4 linked regions of the Kluyveromyces lactis genome follow. The protein of the gene in region 4 purifies or fractionates together with the protein of the main gene of each other region. This does not show direct contact. Links are inferred from orthologs where the notes say so. Each region holds a gene or a part of one and is shown on either strand. Other genes may lie near its edges.

Evidence for each region.
Region 1: the proteins of RSP5 (region 4) and SEC7 purify together in Saccharomyces cerevisiae (affinity purification with mass spectrometry; 3 studies listed by BioGRID, with this or other methods). This does not show direct contact. The link is inferred for Kluyveromyces lactis from reciprocal best matches to the Saccharomyces cerevisiae genes RSP5 and SEC7.
Region 2: the proteins of RSP5 (region 4) and UBP2 purify together in Saccharomyces cerevisiae (affinity purification with western blotting; 7 studies listed by BioGRID, with this or other methods). This does not show direct contact. The link is inferred for Kluyveromyces lactis from reciprocal best matches to the Saccharomyces cerevisiae genes RSP5 and UBP2.
Region 3: the proteins of RSP5 (region 4) and RUP1 purify together in Saccharomyces cerevisiae (affinity purification with western blotting; 4 studies listed by BioGRID, with this or other methods). This does not show direct contact. The link is inferred for Kluyveromyces lactis from reciprocal best matches to the Saccharomyces cerevisiae genes RSP5 and RUP1.

What each region holds. Positions count from the first base shown.
Region 1 is NC_006040.1:1,479,946-1,484,921, forward strand, and holds the start of SEC7 (Arf family guanine nucleotide exchange factor SEC7), read right to left. Parts: upstream 3,125-4,976; coding exon 1-3,124. Other genes in the region: KLLA0_D17380g (uncharacterized protein), read left to right, coding at 4,247-4,976. UniProt on the Saccharomyces cerevisiae protein: Guanine exchange factor that acts as an activator of ARF1 at the trans-Golgi network and is thus involved in vesicular budding and traffic between compartments of the Golgi apparatus.
Region 2 is NC_006041.1:219,186-224,352, reverse strand, and holds the start of UBP2 (ubiquitin-specific protease UBP2), read left to right. Parts: upstream 1-2,043; coding exon 2,044-5,167. Other genes in the region: putative monooxygenase CAT5, read left to right, coding at 1-173; FRQ1 (frequenin), read right to left, coding at 534-1,106. UniProt on the Saccharomyces cerevisiae protein: Has an ATP-independent isopeptidase activity, cleaving at the C-terminus of the ubiquitin moiety in natural or engineered linear fusion proteins, irrespective of their size or the presence of an N-terminal extension to ubiquitin.
Region 3 is NC_006041.1:292,177-296,461, forward strand, and holds RUP1 (Rup1p), read right to left. Parts: upstream 2,377-4,285; coding exon 742-2,376; downstream 1-741. Other genes in the region: SIA1 (Sia1p), read right to left, coding at 1-182. UniProt on the Saccharomyces cerevisiae protein: Modulates the activity of the RSP5 HECT ubiquitin-protein ligase through its mediation of the interaction between RSP5 and the deubiquitinase UBP2. Involved in regulation of cell wall homeostasis.
Region 4 is NC_006041.1:1,196,444-1,201,502, forward strand, and holds RSP5 (NEDD4 family E3 ubiquitin-protein ligase), read left to right. Parts: upstream 1-1,689; coding exon 1,690-4,149; downstream 4,150-5,059. Other genes in the region: DSE1 (Dse1p), read right to left, coding at 1-743. UniProt on the Saccharomyces cerevisiae protein: E3 ubiquitin-protein ligase which accepts ubiquitin from an E2 ubiquitin-conjugating enzyme in the form of a thioester and then directly transfers the ubiquitin to targeted substrates.

The sequences.
Region 1 (4,976 bases), on a different chromosome or scaffold from region 4:
TCCAGGAGTCCTTCATGTAATTACCTTCCGAAACAGCGATTTCAAGAAGAGTTATGATTGCATATACATTCTTTATTTTTATTTCTTCAAGGTTTTGAAGATTAGCGAATTGAATTAATGCACCGACGAATGAAGCCCTTGCATAATCAATGCCGAACGTAGCAGCGATTTTGATAGAAGTTTTGATACCCTTAAGGCATAAATCAGAAGTTTCTATGTCATTGTATTCCTTGAAAGGAGGGGTCAAAGCAGCCAAGAAAGACATCCACAATGTTTCGAAAATCGATTTAACATGTTCAACGTGTGATGCAGCGTAGTACACAGTGTCCTTATTCTTGCTCAAGTTTTTGAATACTAATTCGGTCTTCGAAGAAATTTGCTTAGACACTTGGATATAGGCTTCCCTTTCATAATCCTTGCCATTGAAGAACCCAAATGAGGATTGCTGAGGTAACGCTGCAGTAGCATCACCCGAAATCATTGCTTGGTGTTGTTCCGAGAGCAATTTGATTTCATGGTTTGATATCTCTTCGAATATTTGTTCCATGTATTCCCTTGGCAAGTCCTTTCCATTGTCTATGCCTGAGTTATTCTCTATAAACTCTTCAAGAGTCATTTTCTTTTTGATCTGAGTGGAATGCAAGTCGGTATTCAAAAGAATAATCGAATATGCCAAAACATAAGCTGTATCTGCTTTAGAGAAAACATTAGGGTTTTGATCAACGAAGCGCTCAGCGAATTTAAGCATGAATCTATCAATTTTTTGTCCTTCGCCAGGTAATCTAAACTTTTGAAGGAATAATCTTAAAGCACTAACTATGGAGAGATTTGTAAATTCAAACTGATCAACAAATGCGTGCATGATAGAAATATTTTTTTCATTGCCTTCACCAAGATATTCTCCTACGGCAGATAGGTCAAGCCCATCGGTATTCAATAACCATTTTGCAATAGCAACACTGGAATCGTCCTCGATGAAACCTTTTTTTATCGACTCTGCAATTCCCTTCTTAGTTTTGTAGTTAAATAACTTCACACAATTCAACAGTTCCGTTTTCCTTAATTTAGCAGTTTCAAATTGCAGAGGGTCATCTACTTCTTCATTTGTTGTTGATTCAGATACAGAGTTTGTATCCGTGTTAGACACCGAACTGAGAGCAGAAGTTGAACGAGGTCTGTTCGAAGATAGGAGGGTTGAGGAATCTGCTCTCTGGCTCAAAGCTTTGGATTGGCTACTCCCTACCGTGTTGATCGAACTGGAATTTAGCGCTTTATGTGCCCATGAACTCAAAGATGTGAGGAACGCGACCATACATGTAAGGGCCATTTGTTTTAGAGCATAATCAACCGGAAACGGAAGTTGAGAGGAGTCAGAAGATGATGGGATATTGGAGATCGATAACAAAGGAACTTGAGTATAACTAAATGTTGCAAGCGGCTTGCTTAATGAATCATTGTAATAAGCTCTTTGTGATGTTGTCACATCTACACGTGTAAGAGCTAATTTTGTGAGGTAGTTTATGATCAACTCAACAACATTTGGCATATGACTATCACAGTCATAATTAAGATAGAATTCAATGAGCGTCCGTGGATCATTACAAACACGTTGGATAATACTCAAAAAGTATCTTTTCTGGTGATTGGTCGAAGACTTTAAATCCGCAATAGGGAAATAAATATCTGTGAGGAACACGGGAATCTCTCTCTTAAACTCAGATCTCAAGTTCGATATTATCAACCACATAATTTCTAAAGTTATCTCATACACGGGCGCAATTGGAGAGGCTGCATTTCTCGCAAGTGATAAACACAAATACTGATTGACTGCATGAACTAAGCTGACTTGCTCTTTTCCTGGAACCCTAACGTTTTGAGACAAGAAAACGTCGATATGGTCTTTTAATATTGAATGTAGAGTATGAAGAGATAAAAGTTTCGATCTTACTACATGAGATCTCATATCTAGTGAGTCTTCCAAAGGTTTTGCAGATATTTTTGCCATGGCTCTAAACAAAAGGAAAGCGTCTTTGATGGTAAGAGCTTGTTCATCAGTGATGGAGTCATCGGGTTTCTGGAAATTTTCTTCTTCGTCTACCAGTCTTTCAGTCTCGTCATTTAGTGTATCCAAATTTTGCAAAGTTAACGGATGTTCAGATGATGGAGTGGATGTTCCTCCATTGGTGGAAGCAGCATTCTTTAAGCTAATTGTTGAAAGTGATCTCTGTTGATTCAAACTTTTCACATCGATCCTATCGAAAACGGTCGTGACAATTTGGGTCAAAGTGGCTTGCGCTATGCCTTGATTGGATGAATGTAGCGAAAAGATGAAAATGTTGTAAATTTGTCTGATGGCCTTCAATAAGGAAGCGCCATGGACACAAGAAGTAGCTTCATCGATTAAGATACAACTGGCTAAACCACGTACAACTTGCAGTTCCACTCTTGAGTCTGTATTTTCCCCTTCAAAACAATCACAAATTGTGTCAATTACCGCATCAATAAGCTTTTGTTTTGGAGGTGGAGTAATTCCAATATTTTCAGGGTTCTGATCGTTTGAAGCCATTGAGTCTGGAGGATTCACTAGCAGCGATTCGTCCAAGGCTTGAAAGGAGAACAGTTTAGCGAAACAATCTAAAGCCTTTATTTGAATATCAATGATCTTAGATCTGCAACATGATCTTAACGCTTCAAAAACGAGCAACGAGTCAATTTCTACCGAAGTTCCGGTTGGCGCTGCTGAGGTTTGTTCTAGGGACTTCAAAGTCCTTTCTATATCTTTCTGACAACTCGTAAGTTTCTTAAGTTCTTTGGATTTCATTATGGATTCCAACGTTGATTTTACAAACAAAACAACCGATTTAATGTTCGCGTTATTCATAGATACAATTGACGCATTTCTAGCATGGGCCGCTCCCTCGGTGTTACTATTTACAGTTTTATTTGCTGATGGAGATGGCGTCACATCAACATCAGGCACATCAGGGGTGTTGTTCTCCACGTTCGCATCAGCGTCGGTTACCGAATTCACATTGATATCAACAGTCGTGGTCGAATCTAGGGCTTGTATATCACGTTCCTCAGCAATTGCTGGGTTCGTGCGGTCCACAGGTTCTTCTGACATGTTTGGCAATATTTCTTCGACAGCACTGCACCTTAGTGTGTATATAATCACCTCCGTAATCGTTCCACCAAATACGATATTATGTATACTTCTTTCTGAATCTCATTTAATTTCAGATATTTTTTTTCTTTCCTTTTAAGGTGGATGGCTGGCTCCGTTTTTCCCCTATAATAGGAGAATTGGCTTGAAGATCTGCTCTCTGAAGTCTTTCTGAAGTATAAGTGATTAAGTAAAGCAGCTGAATGATGTTACCAGAATGTTCAGCCAAGAGGCAGTGATATAAACCGTAGATACTTGCTACAGGAAATGGATCTGGAAACTTAAGTTTAGTTCTACATTGTATAATTTTATAAGCCTCTTCTGCTGTGTCGAGCACGTGATTTGTTGATCACGTGATTAGAATCATCTATGATGAGAATTATCTATTGGAGTAACCTCTTTTATAGCACTTCATAGCCCACAAAGGGACGCCAAATTTGGTATATTCTGGAGCATTTGTAATAATTTCCAAACTTACAATCTGAATTTACTTTTCATATCTCTACTTTGAGTTTGGGACCTCAAATCTCCGTTGGCGACCTTAGTGATTGAGAATAACAACCTAAAAACAAGTAAACAGATTGCATGTATGTCAATTAGTGCGGTTAACTAACACCTTCATGTGTAAAGCATCTATCTACCCATATGTATGTATACATATCTCCATAGGAGATATTTAGTCGTTGTTTTCCCTGTTTAATACTGGCGGTGCTGACATAATATGCTGTACCATTTTCCTCCGAAGGAAATCCGTCGGAGGAAAATTGACATGCGTCAGTTAGTGAAACAAAAACGTAGATAGCGTGTGATTAGGATAACAAAAAGAGGTACGGGAGATAGAAAACGGAAAGCTCGAGCGATTTGTATAGTTTCGAGTGCATGGGAGCCTAGTTATCTTTGTGTAAATTATTACAGGATATATTATCCTTCAAAATCTATAAAAGAAGAGCGTTTGTCGAAGAAGAAGAACTTAGTTTGGATAAGGTTCAATTAAGTAATGCATATAGTAAACACATCTATAAGTATCAAGATTAAATCAAAAAGTATCAATCATTAAGGATATTGTGAAATTATCAACTAAAGATGAGTCCAATCGCCGTTACCCGTAAGGAAGTAGAACAACACATCAAAGCGACACCAGTTAATGATGTCCTTTTAACCACCTACCCAGAAGATTCCTCTCCTATCCCATTGAACTGGGGTGCTGCTGATTGTCAAGAAAGGGGTCCTGTGGTTCCATCAAGAAATAAAAGTGGTATCTCTAAACACAATTGCATCGGTGCTCATGCTGGTCCATACTGCATCTATAATGCTTTGGCCATTGGTTCAAACCAGTTAAAACGCGACCATATTCCAGACTATACCAACGCGCAACCTGTGTTTACAATCCCAGAACAGCCATCATGGTTTAACAACCGTGATATTGTATCGATGGATCCTTTTGGTCACTTAACACCTTATTTGTTTGATGATGTTGCTAAGTCTGCAAACGTGGATATCAGACCAACTATTGCCATCACCAAGGCAACCATGCAATTGCTTGAGTTGAAAGAGGCCGTTGATAAAGGCGAATTGAAAATCGACGGTAATATCATTGTCAACTCTAACGGTGACCTAAGTGTTTCGAAGATTGCCGTTGAACCTGTTTGGTATTTACCAGGGGTCGCTGAAAGATTTGGAATCACTGAAGAAGAGTTAAGAAAATGTTTATTTGAGGATACAAATGGTATGTACCCAGAATTGATCACTAGACCCGATATCAAAACTTACATGCCTCCAATTGGTGGATTGACAGTGTATATTTTCGGTAATC
Region 2 (5,167 bases), about 980 kb from region 4:
CTGTAGAATTGAAAAATTTACAAGCTACTATCAAACAATTCAGAGACGAAGAATTGGAACATTTGCAAACAGCTATTGATTACGATTCGCATAAGGCAGTCCCATACATTCTTTTGACGGAGGGGATCAAGACTGTTTGCAGAGTTGCGATTTGGGCAGCGGAACGTGTGTGAATGGTTGGCCCTTCTGACAGTACGCTAACCCTTTCTAATGAACCGTGATGAATACGTGATAAGGCATATTTGGTTTTATATATACAGATTGGAGAAGTATTATAGTATCGTATACAAACGTATATATTACACTGATGATATAGTTACACCCATACACGTTGGAAACTAACGTAAATCAATGTTTCAGGAAGAGAACCGCATGCTCCATTATCAAAAAAGAGCACATTAAAAGAAACAGTCAGTATGAATATGACTTTAAGACTAACAACTTCAAGCCAAAAAAAGTGCCCCCGCCTAATTGCCGTGCAACCGTTGAAAACTTACACTAAGTAAGTTGTATGGAAGCAGGTTACACAAGGGTCATACCAATCCATCATAAAGATTCAATGCCCCTACTATAGATGGATCGACCTTCGATCCGTCTCTAAATTCATCTAACGTAATACAACCATCTTTGTCTTTATCCATAAGCCTAAAGATCTTTTCTACCCTTAACTCTGGAGTAGCTTCATCGTCACTTAGTTTTACCATGTTCCCGATCATTTTATAAATACTTGACACTATGGTCAACATTTCTTCATATGAAATTACGCCATCGTGGTTTAAATCATAGAGTTGGAAAGCCCAGACTAACTTTTCCTCTAAGGAGCCCCTGGAAGTGGTGCTTAATGCTGTGATAAATTCTTTGAAGTCAATGGATCCATTATTATCCTTGTCAAACACGCTAAACACATACGTAGCAAACTCATCTGGCGAGCCAAAGGGGAAAAATTGTTTGTATATCTTGATGAACTCTTCTCTAGTTAGCTGGCCGTTCGGGCAATCCCGTAGAAACCCTTTGTGCCACTGTTGGATCTCTCTGCGATCGAAATACGTAGATTGCTTCAAACTGGTCAAATCATTCTTTGAAAGTGTAGACGTTTTATTTCCCATCTTATTATTGTTATTCCATGGATAGTATATATCTTAACACTTACTGTGATCAAACGCCACTATAAGCTACCTATGATCAGTTTCGGAAAAGATATTGACTAGACCCTGAAGCTCTTCCTCCCTAAATTTTTCAACTCCTCATGCAACATCTTTTATATTGGTTTTTTTTTAATTATGTTTTTCTCTCTTCTGCAGTTTACAGATTTCGTTGTAGGAAAGTGGCTTGTGAAGTCCGTCATAGATGATTCTCTAAAAGTAACGATAGAAACAGTGACAGAGATGACCGTTCCTCTTCTACTTTGCTTGTTGGTGTTCAAGTAACGACTACTAAAATTCTTCAGATGCTCACTATGAAGCGGTGCCACTGATCGAACTATTTTTCCTCTTTTTAACTCAACGACTGCGTTTTAAAGTTCTGGATTTTATGAACCTATTTCAACATTCAAAGGTTGAATAGGTTACATTGAGTTATAAATTATAGTTTACGTAGTACTCAGAAAAACAAGTTGTAAAGCTGTTTCAGTCTTTTCGGAATAATAGCAATGCTGTTACATCAAACAGGGCATAGGTAATTTGAATAGAGGCCCTTTTTGACTCATTTTAATGCCCTTTGTACCGCCATAAATGCGTTTAAATTTAAAACTGTGAGTATAAATCCGTACACCACACACTCATTGTGGTTCTGTCTACAGATTTCCACTATTGACAAATTTTAAAGGGTAACAAAAGAATTAAGTAGAATCAGAATAGTAATTGCATTAAATTTTAAGGAAAACTAGATCTTCAATCCTTTGGCAAATGCATAATTAAAAATATCTATTTGCCACTTCTAGGCTCGTTCTAATACTCCCAGTGATTCAATTCTGATACATTTGACACGCTACAGTATATTGTGACAATTTGAGGATAGCTTGGCAGAGAATAGAATCTCGAATTGATGATGGCTTCACAAGAACCAGCTTTAGAATTGAATGGCGAACAGAGAGATTCTGTTTCGGAAACAGCAGAAGTACTGAGATCTAAGTCGTTGGAATCATTTTCAGATTTAGTAGACGATGGTAAGACGCTTTTGTACGGAGATATTTCGAAAAGTTTTCCGTTCAAAACATGCGATCGAATTTTAGATGACATTAGGATTTCACCATGGTTCTTGAAGAAGTTTGGTTCATCTGTGATGAAACAACCAATGCTTCAGTACTCGAGGGAAAGACAGCAATTGCAACCGTGGAACCTAGTGCATTTAATTGACCAGGTTAATTTGAGAAGCAGATATGATTATGATTCAATGACTTGTCCAGGGAAGAATACCATCAGTGTTATGTTCGCATTGCTGGTAGATCCGAATTTTACTCCTAATGACTTTGATGACATTGACAAGTTTCCTGAATACTTCTTTCATTTGAAGATTACTGTGAAAAGGAGATCATACTTGGAAAATTTCAATAGACACGTTGGGATAACTCATTATCATGTTTTAGAGCCTGAATCTTTACATCCATTCGACAAAAGGGATATCTTTATAATGGAAGAGAAAGACTGTAGATTAGTAGACCAAAGTATATTTGTTTCTGCTGATACTAATAAACTTATACTTGTTGAGATAATAAAACCAGAATTTAATTCAGAGAACCTAGCTGAATATCGAACAGCAAAAATTGAGGAAAGATATAAAAATGCATGTCAAGAATTTGATTTATTGAACCCGGACGATATTCCTAGCCAAGCCGAGTGTTTGAAAACTCTTTTCATGATATTTAAGAACCCATTACAGAGGAAATCTGCTAATAGTGAGTTTAAGATTATTTCCAGGGATAGTGTTGCACTCAACTCACAAATTAATACTGACTGGTTAACGACAATGTTTGATTTCAGTTTGCAGAAGACCGCTGTAGAAGATAATGTCCAATCTGGAGAGGAATATAAGCCACCAGATTTAGTTGATTATATCACAGATTTTAAGGTCAGAGGGATTAGAGAGGCGTATACCAGAAAATCCATGGAGGTTGTTTTAATTGGTAAGCAGTCGATGCTACTTGAAAATGAACTTGGTACTGAAAAGAAGACAGTGGCAAAGTGCTTTTCTAATCAACATTTTAGTGCCAGTCACACATGGTGGTTCAATATTTTGAACCACCAACACATTGAACCATTCCCCTACGACATAAATTACCATTTTATTAACCTATCTGTTGCTTTTAAGTACATCGATAAGGATATCATTAAAAACTATGAAACTCAAATTGCACTTGATCAGGAAAACATCAGCCATTATTTTGATGCTCTCCAATATGTAACAAACGCAAAGGGTAGTTACCAGCTTATTGCTTACTGTGGAAAACAAGATGTTGTTGGGTATGAAGATTTGAATAATGCATTACAGGTATTTGGTTTAGATCCAACTGACATTGACGCAAGCCTCCTTGATGCCAATACGATGATTGAATATTACAATTCTCATCTATTAAGGAGCTCTGATAATCAAAGAAAAGATCTAAGAAATGCCCTACGTGTGCTAGGAAAATATTTAGGTAGTCAAAAGATGTTGTTTTTGGTGGAGTATGAACCATATTATAATGTACAACAAGCTTACACTCTTTTAAAGGTAGACGAGACAGTAGATGATGATATTATCCAAACTGCATATACGATCAATATTGCTGATGCCCCTGGTTTGAAAAAAGATTATGATCGGGCGATTTTTACAATAGCACTAGATAGGCGCTCAATATTTCTTTTGAATGTCTTGACAGATGAATGTCCAGAATTTGCGCAATATTACAACTGCACTGACATATCATACGATGAAGCATTGAACATCATTGAAATTGACATGAATGCAAGCGACGATGTCATCCTTGAAGTTTTTCAAAAGAAATGGAGTCACGGAATTATGACAGGTCCTGATTATCTATTGAAGTTGAAAATGGCCCTTCAGAATATTGGTTTTACTAGAAATAGTAAACTTATCAACCACTTTTTAGACACCGGTATTGTGGACGTAAGTTGTCTTCCTGTTGCTACATGGCCAGCTGGAATCAATAATGTGGGAAATACATGCTACCTAAACTCACTACTTCAATTCTTTTTCACTATCAAACCTCTACGTGATTTTATTTTGAATTATGATGATGACTCTGCTAAATTACTGGATGCGTCTGAATATCACTCTAGAAGAAGAATTGGAGGCAGGGAGGTCAGCAAACAAGAAGAGCTTAGATCGGTCCAGTTTGTCTACCATCTTCGTGATTTGTTCAATGACATGATCCACACAAACAGTAGATGCGTCACGCCCACAAAAGAGTTGGTCTACTTAGCCTTTGCTCCGAGTAATGTCGAGGTGGAGTTCGGTGACGATACTGTTGCCCAGAAAGAACTCATCGACTTAACAACTGACGTCGTCGAAGACCCCACTGATACTACTCGTCACCTAGCGTCTTGTGATGATGATATCATAATGTGCCAGAGCCCGGTTGCGCTCCCCGAACATAAAACATCGTCAGAAGCAGGAACACAGCAATATTCCGTCCAAGTTGCTAAAATCAGTGCGGACCAACTTGAAAATACATTGGAGATCGGAAGACAACAAGATGTTACAGAATGTATAGGTAACGTCTTGGCTCAGCTTGAGATTGCTTCAGAACCTTTGAGCTTGGAAGACGACTTGGAACAGAATGATCTTGTCAAACAGTTGTTTTACGGTAGAATTAAACAGGACTTGATACCAGTCAATGATGAGGCTTCTGTCCGGACAAAATATGAAAGGTTTTTATCCTTATTGGTTAACACCGGTGACCATCCAAAGGATATTTATGATGCTTTAGATTTTTACTTTCAGAATGACTATTTGAATTTGGAGGAGTATGGTGATGTAAAGAGAACTGTATCTATCTCAGAGTTACCTGCGGTTCTACAAATTCAAATCCAGAGAGTCTATTATGATAGAGAAAAATTCATGCCTTTCAAGTCTATCGAGCCGCTACCTTTCGGCGAAACGTTGTACATGGATAGATATATGGCTACCGAGGATCCAAAACTATTAGCAGAAATTCAACAAAACGCAG
Region 3 (4,285 bases), about 900 kb from region 4:
CTAACATCTCGTACCTTGATCCCAGTGTCTTGTAGTGATCCCGACAATTTAAGGTCTGGTGCTTGCACCAACCAGTTCTTCAGATGCCTTTGGATCAAACTCCATGATGTTATAAATAGGAAACAAATCCATACAAGAAAGAATCGCCTTGCATAAAGTAAGATCCTTCTATTACGAAACATGGTTCGTGAGAGGAATTGTCACGAAATAGCACACGTAGACACTCTTTACCTCTCTTACACCGCTAGATCTAATTGTATCAGGTATGCTAAGTGTTCAGAGTCAAGATATACCAAGCTAAGGCCAAATTTATACATTTGGTATATATATAGTAAATTGAATTAGTATAGTTTATATTTATAAATTATTTCAAAATCACAGATTTCTTCTAGAAACCGCCGGAGTCAGACCCATTTTCCAGTGGGCAGATTCCTTTTATTCTATTTCTGTACTTTTGTCTGCAAGAAAGAACTAACTACAGGCTTTTTTTTTTTTTTTTTTTTGATTCTTTAGCTTTTTTTGGGTTTGAGCTTTTTTACGACCAATTGTGAGATTATTCTGTAAGAGATGTCCGCTTTCTATAAATAACAAGCGGTTGAGAAGCAATGCAACGAATGGCATCTGCTTAGTGCATCTTGAAGCAGGCGCCAATGGTATCCAGGTCATCTAGAAGGAGAAAACTCTATTTTATTCTCTCAGTAAAACATGTATGATTATTATAGGTATACGCATTTCATGCGTTTACGGTGACTGTTTATAATTAACGTACGTAGTGTGCTCTTCTTTGAGGAAATTTGTTAGGGTTTCATTTTCGGAAATGGAAGCCAGAATATCTTGCGGTGCGTCAATATGGTCTTTTTTAATGTAAACGAAAAGGATTGGAGTCTCGGATGCATGTCTTGTGTGTGATTTTGTTATATCTTGAGTTTCCTGCGCTGTGAGTTCCTCTTGAGTGAGGCTGCTTGATCCAAACTCAATGATATTCCTGATATACTGCAGATTGTTGTTGCCAGTTTCCATGCCGGTATTACCATCGTCAGCACTGATTCCACGTGCAATTATGTAGTCGTTTGGCGAAAATACCACTAGCCGGAGTAGGTACGGCTCATCAATGATACCAACCTGTTTTGCCAGATCGATTATCTTTTCAGATGGTCCTTCAAAGGATAACAAATCGATTTGTCTTTGAGTTTCTGTATAATCGGCCATCATTTCACGTTTCTTGTTCGATAGCTGGTACTTGATTTTTTCTAAAGTGTCAACCAACTCTTTTGATTTATCTTCGTCTCCTAATGGAATTTCTTCCAAGTAATTGATGGAACTGTTCAAGAAAGAGCTGATCTGCTTCCCCTGAAACGATTGCAAGGATGACATTTGGTCCACTTTCAACTTATTAGTATTCCTTAAGGCATCAGTCTCCTCGAGGACAGGGACGACCACTTTTTCCAAAGCATTCTTGGTATACAGTTGGGGGTAGAACTCGATGGGGATCTGTACTCCGTGGGAAAGGTTCACTTCTTCAGTTGTATCGTCCATGTCATCGAAGATGATAGTGAACACGGGAGCCAGGAAATCAAAGGCATTCTCTATTTCGTATCCCCTCCCAGAATCTTCTGGCAAGAGCATCGGATTGAACATCTCATAAAGTGTATAAGCGTAGTTTTCCGGTGAAAAATTTAATACGGATAAAGAAGTGGGTTGGAAAGGCTCTAATACGTTTGGTCTGTGGAGTGCTTTAGAAAGGAATAATTTCGAAGTAGATTTATCGTCTTTCAAACACAAATCCATATCATTGTGTAAGTTCTTGATGAATTGCGGGAATACTTCTGAGAGGTGGTCACACTCAGAGAGGGCTCTGGACACGTTGAAATCTGTACCCTTATTGATCAATTCGGATGCAACGAACCTTCTCATCGATTCTGGATCGTTGGCTATGCCTATCAATAGTTGCATCCGTGGGATCAATTCCGGTTGCATTTCCAAATATTCACTACCGGTCAACTCTCTCTTATGAATCAAAAGAGGACCCGCATTCCTATGCACCAATCTGTAATCAGATTGTACCAACTCTCCTTTGAACCAATGTGGGTTATACACTAATTCCTTAAAATCCACATTGAGAAACTTCGTCGGCACGTTCACAGCCATACAGAGTGCAAACAACGGGAAGTAAGACTCCAACAATGCACTAGACCCCTTTGGTAAGATCCCAACCAATTGAGAAGGATCCTTTTTCCACCAATGCTCAATGGTGGTATTCAACAAACTATTTGGTAACCTGCTGGGCAGTGATGTGATGCCGTCATTTGAACTAGAATCGCTGTCCACGGCATCGAGCTTCCGTAACAATTCTTCCTGGTCGAATCCGCTCTGCATATGGTAATCGTTATAGCTGTAATGGCAATGGCTGCTCGCTACTTACATCTTACGTTTTAAGACCCCTTATACCCTTATAAACGATACTCTCTGTATATTATTTCCAGTTAAAATTTCAACTTTCTACAAAGGAAAAATTCATCATCCAGAGAAAAGTCAACGGATCTAGAAGGTATCGTTGAATACCGGTAAAGGGGAAAATGCTGAAACTGTTAACAGATGAATCAGATCAGCTAAAAGAATTCCTGACATAGAACTGAATTACTTAGGCAAGAAAGGAATGCGATTTTTTTTTCTTTTCTAGTTATTCGAGAATGCAGGCAGAACAGCGTCATTCATTCAACTCTTTGTCCTGGATGAAAGAATGTTGCATGTTGCAACTTTGTAGGATGTACTAATAAGGTAAAAACCTTAAACAATGCAAAATCTCCAAGAAGATAGAATAAAGTTCCATATTTGCATTGTCTACGACAAACCAGTATGAAGCTCATTAATTGAGATGTACATAATCATTTGGGTATATAGGATGCAAAGATGTGGGCAAGATGTAAATAGACGGATACATCCGATTCTACACCACAGTAACGTCTGCACAGCACGCTTGAGACAACAGGCACCTCGCCGGATACCCCTTGCCAACTTCATTCAACCTATTGCTAGCTTTGCACTCTTCAAACTGCAGCACTTTTAAGATCGAAGAAAGGAAAAAAAAAGGCTGAACAGGGTAAACAGAGTAATATAGAGTAAACACACAAATTCCCCTAAGGATTGCGTATAACAAAAGCTCACATACAATGCGAGTTTCGGCTCAGCAGGCTCCCCGAGCTAGCTACTTAGCTAGCTACCCAGATAGCTTCCTACCTGGAATATGCGATTCGTTCCTTTCGTTTCCTTTCCCTTGCGTCACTTACACCCCAGTTCAATTCGCACTGAGGATCTCTAGGCATTTAGACTTGGAAACATTTTTACGATCGAGATCTCTCAGAAGGAACCAGCGAAAAATCGTAGCCAAAAGAATATATACAAGAAACGTACTGCCACACAAGCCGGGGCCCACACACGTCCAATTACAACCTATCTAAATAATCCTTCCACAATCTGGTACTTTTCCATGCGGGAATCCTTCCCCCCCCCTACTGTATTCTTGATTAGGAACAGAAAATCTGTCGCAAGAATCAGAATGGACTTGCTACACCATTCCTGAAGAAACGGTTTTTTTTCGAATTTTTCGAACTCTTATGTATCTCGAAAGATTTCCTTCTAGACTGTCTAGAATTCCCTCTGATGGGGGAACCTTAAAACTTCCCCTATTGCCTCAAATCCTAAGAGACTCTCCCGTTCTGCAAGTGTGTAAGCTGTATTCTGTGTCTGTTTTTTTTTTCCCCTTTGCTGTTTGAAAGGGTACGCACTTGCCTACTCGTTATTGTTACTTTATGCATATCGAATATTTTCACACACACGCATGCACACAATGAGAAAGAAAAAGTCCATTTCCAGCACTGAAACACGCGAAACTGCTGCATTTGCACTATTTCCATCTTGTTTAGTGCATTTATTGATAATTTGTTGACATTACACTTTTTTTTTCTCTCTTATTATAAGATACATGAATTTAAGAAATCATAAAATTATAAATAATATTTGTTATATGAAATATGCACATATGATATATGTATAAATGAAACAGATTTCTTAGGCCAGTTAGACAGGCAGACAACTAGAACGCCATACAAACATCGGGGATCAACGTATAGAAACTTGACTCAGAAAAGGTAGTTGTTACCGTTGATGGTGCAAAAGTGAAATGTATAAAACTTGAGGCTACTAAGGGAGATTTAGAATCTACACCGGAAAGAACAGAGATTTAAAGTTCAAAAGTATACACGATAAAGGCTATTATTGGTGTTAT
Region 4 (5,059 bases):
AAATGACGAATTGGTTTTGAACGACTTGTGTTATAAATTTGCGTAGCAAGATCAACACTATCCATGCTATCGGTGATCACTTTCAAATGTTTGGAATGATTGAAACGTCTTAGAATTTTGGCGTTCCCATTCTCGATTGAAGTTGCAATTAAGTTCACATATCCATCAGAGTGTCCTGAAAGTAAGATTCTGTCATGGACTTTATCATCGAAGGAAACTACGGTGTCATTATTCTGCGATTGCATGATATCTGTAGCCAGAATAGATTTTCCTGGAACAGTAATGGTTTGTAAACTATGGAGCAATTTCCCACCGCGAGCCTGCTCATTAATTTCATTATTCCGCAATTGGAACAACTGTAAATTATCCGATGTCTGTGATGTGGAAAGTAGAATGGTGTCCCTATCCAATGACATTGAAGTGACGTCCCTAGTGTCTTCTGACAGTTTCCAACAATCTGTCTTCAATTTTTTCGTGACAATGACATCGTTCAAATCACCACTAACCTTCCTTAGCAAGGAACTGTTCAATTTCGAAGCCTCTATCTTGCAATTCCGCCTGACAATAGTACTGTTCTCGTCATCGCTAATATCTCTTCTACTCTTCTTGACGATGATGGCGTTCTGTCTGAATATCTCTGGAGCCCTGTAGAATTCAGTCATAATTTTCGCAATATACAGTTTCTTATTTGACTTTGTGTAATGTTTGCACTGCAGAGAATAATTGATTGTTAACAGGTACATCCATTAGAGGAGTAAGAGCTGGTCACTTTTAGAAACGACATGTTTATATATGATACAGGGCAAATAAAAATAGCACTAGCAAACACTGAGCCAATCAAAAATAGGACCAAACGCAGAACAAGCAACAAAAATTAGAGAAAGGCACGTTACCTATTGAGTGTGTTAGGCAGCCATATGAGCAAACATCCTGTTTATGTTTGCAAGAGGTTTGTTTACCTGTAAACAAACCCAGCATCTTTAAAGCTGGCAAAGGCTTGTTTATATTTATGTCATTTTGGACGATATGATTTTTGTCACGTGATGCCCATAATCGTCCCATATGCACGTCATCTGACAGCAATACGGCAGATTCTTGCAACCTGGTGGCTACCACCGCCATTAATGCCGTTTCCGAATTTACTGACATACTCGGCGTAGCCTGGTATCCCTCTTTAGTACTCTTTTTCCAGGTTTCAATCTCCTCACGTGACAAGTAAAGGAGAAAAGAAAATTGTGATTTGCATATTTTAATTAAGGAAACAAAACAAGAACAAAGATACTTTACTTGCAAACAACATCCGATTTAATCATCAGATCAAGGTGCTAGAGGATAAGCAAACGTGCATTGACAGTGGCAAAAAGGACGGTACGGAAAAGGGTATTGAGCAAGGTATTGATCTGATTTTTCTTTGCTTCTTTTTAGAGGAATCATCAACTTTTTTTCTGGTTCTGTTTCCTGTTCTGTTTCTTTGCAATTACGACAATTAAAGAAGACAAAAGACAAAAAATAAAACCTTATAGGCTTTCTCGGGCGGTTTTATTTGTTTAATAATTATTGCTGTTACTACCACTTATCAGATATCTAGTGTTTGAAGACTTTTCAATTTGTTATTGAGATTCCACTTTGAAGGAGAAATTATCGGATTTGAAATTGACAAACCATTAAAAAAATAAAAAGCTGCGAAATATGTCTATCTCTGTGAAACTAGTGGCTGCTGAGTCATTGAACAGGAGGGATGTGTTTAGATCTCCTGATCCGTTTGCAGTTTTGACTATCGATGGTTCTCAGACGAAATCCACAGCGGCTGCAAAGAAGACGTTGAATCCCTACTGGAATGAAGTATTTCAATTCAAAAATGTGAGTGAAAATTCGATCTTAACTGTTCAAGTGTTTGATCAGAAAAAGTTCAAGAAGAAAGATCAAGGGTTCCTAGGTGTTGTCAACGTTCGTATTGGTGACATTCTGGGTCACTTGGACGAAGATACTGCCACTTCGAACGGTAGAGCTCGTGAAGAGACTATTACTAGAGATTTAAAACGTTCTAACGACGGGTTGTCAGTAAGTGGTAGAATAATATTGGTTTTGACGGTTCTCCCCAGAGCTGGCAGCCGTAATGGAGCTGCTGGTGCCGCAGGTAGTGCTGTTGCTGGTTCCGGAGCAGCTCGTCAATCGGATTCGATGACGAACGCTTCCACTATCGACAACAGATTGATTGCTCAGACTGTTGCTAACAACTTGCAAACTACTACATTAGACAACCAGGATTCTGCGAATGCTGCAGGTACCGCCAGTTCAGGTTCAGGTGCCGGTTCAAGTGATGCTGCTCCATCCGGTCAACCTTCGACAGCTCAATCTCAATCGTCAGCTAGCAGGCAATACTCATCGTTTGAAGATCAATATGGTCGTTTACCCCCAGGATGGGAAAGAAGAACGGATAACTTTGGAAGAACATATTATGTGGATCATAATACAAGGACAACAACATGGAAAAGACCCACTTTGGATCAATCCGAGGTTCAACGTGTCAACACCGAACTAGAACGTAGACAACACAGAGGAAGAACTTTACCTGATGGTGGTGCTCAATCAGAGGGCTCGTCTTCATCAAACGTTGCTGTTCATACCGGTACTGGATCTCAAACTCCTGCCGTAAACGGTTCAGCAGCTGCTACTTTTGCTGCCACTGGGGGTACCACATCGGGGTTGGGTGAACTTCCACCAGGTTGGGAACAACGGTTCACTCCTGAAGGAAGAGCGTACTTCGTTGATCACAACACAAGAACCACGACATGGGTCGATCCAAGAAGACAACAATATATTAGAACCTATGGGCCTTCCACAAATACCATACAACAACAACCTGTATCTCAGTTAGGACCTTTGCCTTCTGGTTGGGAGATGAGATTGACAAACACAGCCCGTGTATACTTCGTTGACCATAACACTAAGACCACCACTTGGGATGATCCTAGATTACCTTCTTCCTTGGATCAAAACGTTCCACAGTATAAGCGTGACTTCAGACGTAAGGTTATTTACTTCAGATCCCAACCGGCTTTAAGAATTCTACCAGGTCAATGTCACATCAGAGTACGCAGAAAGAATATCTTCGAAGATTCTTACCAAGAAATAATGAGACAAACGCCAGAAGACTTAAAGAAGAGACTAATGATCAAATTTGACGGTGAAGAAGGTTTAGATTATGGTGGTGTTTCAAGAGAATTCTTCTTTTTACTATCACACGAGATGTTTAATCCCTTCTACTGTCTATTTGAATATTCTGCCCATGATAACTATACTATCCAAATCAATCCAAACAGTGGTATCAACCCTGAGCATTTGAACTACTTCAAGTTCATTGGTAGAGTCGTCGGTTTAGGTGTATTCCATAGAAGGTTCTTGGATGCATTCTTCGTTGGTGCTCTATATAAGATGATGCTAAGAAAGAAGGTAGTATTACAAGATATGGAAGGTGTCGATTCAGAAGTCTACAACTCCTTGAAATGGATTTTAGAAAATAGCATAGATGGCATTTTAGATCTAACATTTAATGTTGATGATGAAAGATTTGGTGAACTGGTTGTCGTCGATTTGAAACCAAACGGCAGAGAAATCGAAGTCACAGATGAAAACAAGAAAGAATATGTTGAACTATATACCCAATGGAGGATCGCAGACAGAGTTCAAGAACAATTTAAGGCATTTATGGATGGATTTAACGAATTGGTTCCTGAAGATCTAGTCAACGTGTTTGATGAACGTGAACTTGAATTATTGATTGGTGGTATTGCAGAAATTGATGTTGAAGACTGGAAAAAACACACAGATTATCGTGGATACCAAGAGTCTGACGAAGTTATCCAGTGGTTCTGGAAATGTATCACTGAATGGGACAACGAGCAAAGAGCACGTTTGTTACAATTCACAACTGGTACATCGCGTATCCCGGTCAATGGATTCAAAGATTTGCAAGGTTCTGATGGTCCAAGAAGATTCACTATCGAAAAAGCAGGTGAAGTTCAACAACTACCCAAGTCACACACTTGTTTCAACAGAGTGGATCTTCCACCATACACTGATTATGAATCTTTCAAGCAGAAGCTAACATTAGCAGTGGAAGAAACCATCGGATTTGGACAAGAGTAGTTGAATGAATCTTTCAATCTTTTCAATACCCTGCACCTTCTCAATTATTCAATCAGAAAGCGCAAGCACAAACACAAGCACAGACATATATATGTTATAGATATATTGTTGCCAAAACATGTGTATATTATTACATAGAAATTTTTTTCTTAACCTCGTTAGGCCTCAACTTATGGTGCTTTGTTATATTTTATTGCCATTATCAGGTGTTACTTTATATAGGTATGCTATAATGTGGGAAGCAATTGACAACGAAGTATCTGGTTCCTAACCGACGGAGTTTTGTAATTGCCCAGAGATTGATATATCCAGCTTAAATTTTGGGATAATAACGAAAATTAGCTGCATGGAGTTGATAGTATTAAGACCGGGTTCTTAAATGAAAAGGGTTAAGTTGTAATTATATATATGATAATTATGATAGAGGACAGGGTAAAGCTTATAATAAAATAATTTAAATGAGTGAATTGAATGAATTTATTGTATATTGTATAATAACGAGCGACAACAATATATTTGAATGCAATAATAATGAAAAAAGATGTTAACCCATAAACGTTTCGGTGGCTTAATGTTGTAGTTTTTTTTTAAAAGTTGTGGCTTAATTGTTACGGATCTTTCATGAATCGGCCTATTTCCTCTCACTATGACCCTTTTTTTGACCTGGTATGTAAGTGAAGAGAGTGTAATCACAATCTTTGATTGAATGTAAAGATTGATTCTACACCGAAAGATCCCACAATTAATACCTTGGTATTCTATTTTTTTTTCCTTTTTAGTGCAGTTTAAAAATGCTTAATAAAACAACCTGTTACCATTCAGAATGACATTCATAAGTCGTGACCTATTTCCCCTGTGTATAAAATAAATTTTGTATTTCCATAGAATCGACTATCCATCAGATAAAGAC